Kluyveromyces lactis: one gene and its partner. Each later gene encodes a partner of the first gene's protein in a complex. Links are inferred from orthologs where the notes say so. Each region holds a gene or a part of one and is shown on either strand. Other genes may lie near its edges.

What was found.
Region 2: PAM17 (region 1) and PAM16 share a complex: the UniProt entries of both Schizosaccharomyces pombe proteins name them as parts of the PAM complex. The link is inferred for Kluyveromyces lactis from reciprocal best matches to the Schizosaccharomyces pombe genes pam17 and tim16.

The regions. Positions count from the first base shown.
Region 1 is NC_006037.1:561,537-564,097, reverse strand, and holds PAM17 (Pam17p), read left to right. Parts: upstream 1-1,367; coding exon 1,368-1,958; downstream 1,959-2,561. Other genes in the region: KLLA0_A06127g (uncharacterized protein), read left to right, coding at 1-10; SYP1 (Syp1p), read right to left, coding at 31-951. UniProt on the Schizosaccharomyces pombe protein: Component of the PAM complex, a complex required for the translocation of transit peptide-containing proteins from the inner membrane into the mitochondrial matrix in an ATP-dependent manner.
Region 2 is NC_006042.1:1,282,526-1,285,241, forward strand, and holds PAM16 (import motor complex subunit PAM16), read left to right. Parts: upstream 1-1,752; coding exon 1,753-2,172; downstream 2,173-2,716. Other genes in the region: transcription factor HAP4, read right to left, coding at 1-722. UniProt on the Schizosaccharomyces pombe protein: Essential component of the PAM complex, a complex required for the translocation of transit peptide-containing proteins from the inner membrane into the mitochondrial matrix in an ATP-dependent manner.

The DNA of each region.
Region 1 (2,561 bases):
TATAGTCTGAGTAAAGATAACGCTTGACAATCACTGGGCCTTATAGTTCCCAGAAATAGTCATTACGTTTAACGGCAGGTCCGTTAATCTGGTTGGTGAATATCCGTATTCCACGTTAACCTGTGTCAACAGCTGTGATGCGGTAAAATCTATACGAACATGCGGTGGCCCAATTGCTTGAGATGTGACAACATCGGTTCGTTGTCCACCTTTATATCTCAAAATCAGAATCTGATCCTGTTCCAGCATGGGCAGATCCCATTGGATGGTACCATCCACTTGGTTATAAAATCCAGTAGGTTTAGATAAAATATCTTGGGCCTTGGTGCCTATCTTTATACAAACTTTCAATAGTGTATAATTGACAGGAATTAAAGGTCTTAAATTGATCATTGAGATGATCTCGGCCTCTTTGAACTGCCATACGGGTGTCACTAGAATCGGACATTGAACCTGTGGTAAATTTGTCACTGCATATTTCACTAATCCTGTAACCACGTTGTCCCATTCGCGTTCACGTTTCAATTTGTATATATTCTGAACCACATCCACTGGCTCCAGGAATGTGTCGTTAATCTTAACGGAACTAACATTATTGAATTTCATATACAAATCACTCGTTCTTTGATCCCACTTGGTACCATTGATGGCAACTTCGCCAACAAGTGATACGTTCGTTATATTATCGTCTGTGATAACACATGACAAAGTCTCTACTATATCACCATTAATCTCTGGTAATGGTGGTGACTCTGAATCTGGTCCTGATTCTCTCAATTTCAGTATATTCTCCCTCTCCTGTAACTGTAGCAGTAATTCCTTGGATCTGACAAGTTCCTGGGACACTTCAGAGAACAATTCACTATTACTATCGAATTTTGTCTCTTTGAGTTCTTCTAGCGATTGAATATAGCCCTGCACTATTTCTGCAAAAGCTAGAACATCAGACATTATAACAGAAAGACTTACTTTTTGAGACGTGCAAGGCAAACAATATAACCTATAACTATAATAGACAGCTTTAGAATAGTGAAAGTATCATGCAATGATGAACGGACGTAACATATATCTGTATCAAATGAAGATCTATTCGAGATATAACACCATTTGATCAAGAGATTGGAAAAAGCGGTACTTTCATTACCCGGACGTGGATATTGAAGCTTGTCAATTCCAAAAAAAAGTTTGGAAAGCTACCAAATGAGCTTATAACATGATTTCAATAAGGAATGTTCGAGGGGTGGATCCAGATCACCTGTTTGAACTAGCATCAAACAGCCAATTCTTCTGCTGTGTTACTCGATAAGTAGTATACTCGGATATCAGAGGCAATAAGAACCAAATACCACGGAAAAATAGCCCAAACTATGTTGAGACTAGGAATCAATCTACAGAACCGTCTTTTGGTTGGACTAAATGGACAATCTCTTTTGAAAAGAGCCGTTACACGCAATGCCGTTGCCATCAGAATGAATAGCACTAATGCTGGTAAGACAGCTTCTCATGAAATGACATGGCCAGAATTCTTCAAGCTACGTAAAAAAGAACGTGTTTTCAACACGGCTTCTTCGGTTGCGACAGCCATAGTATTCGTTAACGGTTCGTGGTTTTACTTCTCCACTTTGGAAATCGATCCAACTCAAACAATCTTTGGATTCGATCCACTAATGGCAATTACTGCTGGTATGATCACATGTGCTGCTGTTGGTTGGTTATTGGGACCAATTGTGGGTACTGCATTGTTTAAGGCCACTTCCGGTCCCAAATTATTACAGTTTCAAGAGAAGCAACTTTCATTTTTGGCCAAAATCCAAAAGAACAGAGTCAATCCTCAATCACAATCTTTCAGTAACCCTGTGCCGGATTACTACGGTGAAAAGATTAATTCGATACCACAGTACAGACAATGGCTAAGAGATTGTCATTCTTACAAAAGAAAGGCTAGTGAGTTCTTGTGAAGCGGAAAAATACCAGAAAAAGTATGATGACTATCACTCTCCCACCCAAGGAAACGCCTTTCCGTAAGTACAAGTAAATAGTAAATAATAAATAGTGGTTGATATCTAAAGAAACATTCGTTAAATCAGCATTAGCAATTGCGTAATGGTATATGCCAGAGAAACCGGAATGAAAAGGATCGATACCCAACAAAAAAAAGTATATTTGGATGCGGCGAGGTTCGAACTCGCGCCTGTTAACATTAACAGACCTGCATATTCCGGGTAACCGTGTCCGTCACTCGCAATCCACTTCTGCTCTACCCGCACCCAATAGCCGCCAAGCAATCAGTGAAGATTTTCTGGAGGACCCACAAATTTTTGATTTTCGGACCAGGCCCCTTACAACTCGCACAAAACTGCGTAGAAAACCTCTGTTTAAAGGTTTAAGGAAACGGCTATCGCAATTTTCTTGGCCCCCCCAAAGGTAAAGCAGAATGTGTCAATTGGAAAGCGACGGAGACGGTTTTGATGCCGCATTGAGTCCGCATGCTCATTTCTTGTCCCTGAAGCAGGCGCCTTAACCACTCGGCCACACACCCAGTTCTTATACTGTTAGTAGTT
Region 2 (2,716 bases), on another chromosome or scaffold:
TCCACGGGTTGTGCAGATTGAATATGATCTAAAGTAACATCCAGCTGTTCCATTTTCACCTGTGGCTTAACTTTTGCGCTTTCCATTTTAGCTGATGGCTTTAAGGTCGGAATTGGCATGACTTGTTTCTTGCAAGCAGCTGGTGCAATTTTGGCACGGATGGGCTTAGGCTGGGTATGAGTGATCGATGTTGTCTGTTCAACTTGTATTGCTTTTGACTTGGCGTTTGTAGATTTACAGTTAGTCAACGGGATAGTTGATGATGATGATGATGATGAGGAGCTTGCGGTTGGCACTCCTGTACGGACTGCAGTCGTTGTAGATGACGCTACTGTACCTTGATCAGAAGAAGAGCAACTTTTACCAGAATCAATAACAGTGGCAGCCAAGTGTTTTTTCGATCCCGGTCTCAAATTCTCAACTTCTTTCACTGATTCCACAGGTTCTTGTTTAATCTTGGCATTAGTACTTGAAGCAGAAGCAGGCGTAGTGGACTCTACAGCCATACCCTTGACATTTGCCAGTTGCTGCTTTATCGATAAAGAAGGACTGGGTTTTCTACCCGGTTTAGGCCTCGGTGGAAGAACCCAGTGCCTAGACGTTCGAATCGTGATCCCAGTGGGTTTCTCATGTTTCTTCGGCTGTAAATTAGGAGCAATTGTAATCTGCTGATGAGGCCCAGTGTGTCCGTGAAGGGGCTCCAATGAAACTGGCCTGGACATTAGTTAATTCTTACTCTGTGTCTGAAGTGCTTTTATTATAGAATTCTCTCCGGACCAGCGAAAACAATATTAACTGGTTCGGAACCGGAGCCGTAACCAGAGTTGCGAAGTATGCGTTTGAAAGTAGGATACAAAAACCTTACGGCGAGATGCAACCTAAATTAGTTTGAACCACCTGCGATACGATTGAATCACGCTTGTTGAGTCCTTGTGTGTCTGTTAGAACCTGTTTTAGTTTCGGAGAAGTCGTTTGTTTCGGTAGAATTAACTACTCAACTTTTCAATTTAAACCGAAATTGAGAGAGAGAGAGAGAGGGGGAACAATGGTAAAAATGAGGGCATGATACATCAAGACGAGCCATCATGAATTTATATATCTCAGGCCATAAGATAGTATGGCCTGAGTACTAAGAGGTATCTCAAGTTTGAAATGGGGATTGGGTGTTGAGTTGCTAATAATTGATCACGTGACCATGACCCCAGATACAAAGCCACGCTCCCAAACTGGATCCCCCCCCTCCTCCCCGTTACAGTACTACGCTAGTACTAGCATGCTGAATTCACATCCCCAATCAATGCAACAGCAGCGTAGCTGCTGTTGCTGGGATCACCTATCGTTTAATTTCTTGATACCTGCGTCGTTTCCGATGCCACATTCTACAATGTGGAATGAGAAGCTAAAACCTCATAAAAATACCCTATAAAAAGCCTGAATGAGCGAATGCAATTACAAACTCCATCTGTAGTCATTGTAGACTAGCTAAATCATTCTAATGAGGCATAGCTGTCAACCAGATATATAGTTATTTGACGGTGTCACAGCAAATATGTGGGGCTGGTCTTGACATCCCCGGGTAACCCCTTCTGTTTTCGAAAAGTCATCGAAAAGTTGAGAACAGAAAGAACTGGAACTAATAACAGCATTAAACACTAAACTACTCATCGGATTAACTTCTAAGCTTTGTCTAAGAACGCCGTTCCAGTTCGAGTAAACTGCGCATATCCAAGAAATACAACAAGACTATAGGATATGGCACACAGAGCGTTTATACAGGTGATTTTCACCGGGGCACAGGTGTTTGGACGTGCGTTTGCGGAATCTTACAGACAAGCAGCAGCTCAAACAGCTAAACAAACGGCAAATGCTTCTAGAGGCCGTGGTGCTAGCGCAGAATACGGAGGTATCACTTTAGATGAGAGTTCTAAGATTTTGAACATTGAGAATGAACAGGATATGAATTTGGATAAAATCAACGAAAGATTCAAGTATTTGTTCGAGATCAACGATAAAGAGAAAGGTGGATCATTCTACTTGCAGAGTAAGATTTACAGGGCAGCAGAGCGTTTGAAGTACGAGCTTGCTGAAAAGGAAAAGGCTGCCAATCCAGAACTGAATCAAGAACAAGCGAAGTCGAGTTCCACGACGGAGTCACCGGAGTTGAAAAAATAGCGTAAGGTCATTCTCTCTGGCCTAGTATAAGTTTTGTAAATAGTTCAAATAAACCGAAATACACGCATCGCATGCTCATCGTATCATGTTCAGCACAATATCATCAGTGGTTGATGAAGCTGATTTATGTCTACAACTAATTAATACAAAAATTCTCTAGAAGATGGGAAAACTGTTCCATCATGAAGAAGGGCACAACGGAGAGTGAAAATCCAAACTCTCAGGCAGCCATTACGCAAAGCCCTCTGGATCACATGCAACACCTGGAAGAACAACTAGAGCGAGCTGTTAAACCGCTTCTAATCATCACTTTCCAGACCTCTTCATAATGGTTAAAAGAAAGAAGTGATGCAAAAAACCGGGAAAAGGAAGAGACTTCCCCTCCCAACTCAATGCGCTTCCAACTTTATTGATCTAAGAAACCGGAAACGAAATGGAAACTGTGGCCAGCTTGTTTGGGGCTAGTCAGGATCCATTCAGCTATGGGTTAAAAAATGGTAACAGTCACTCTTCTCCAGTATTAACTAAAGCCGTTCCTAGATCT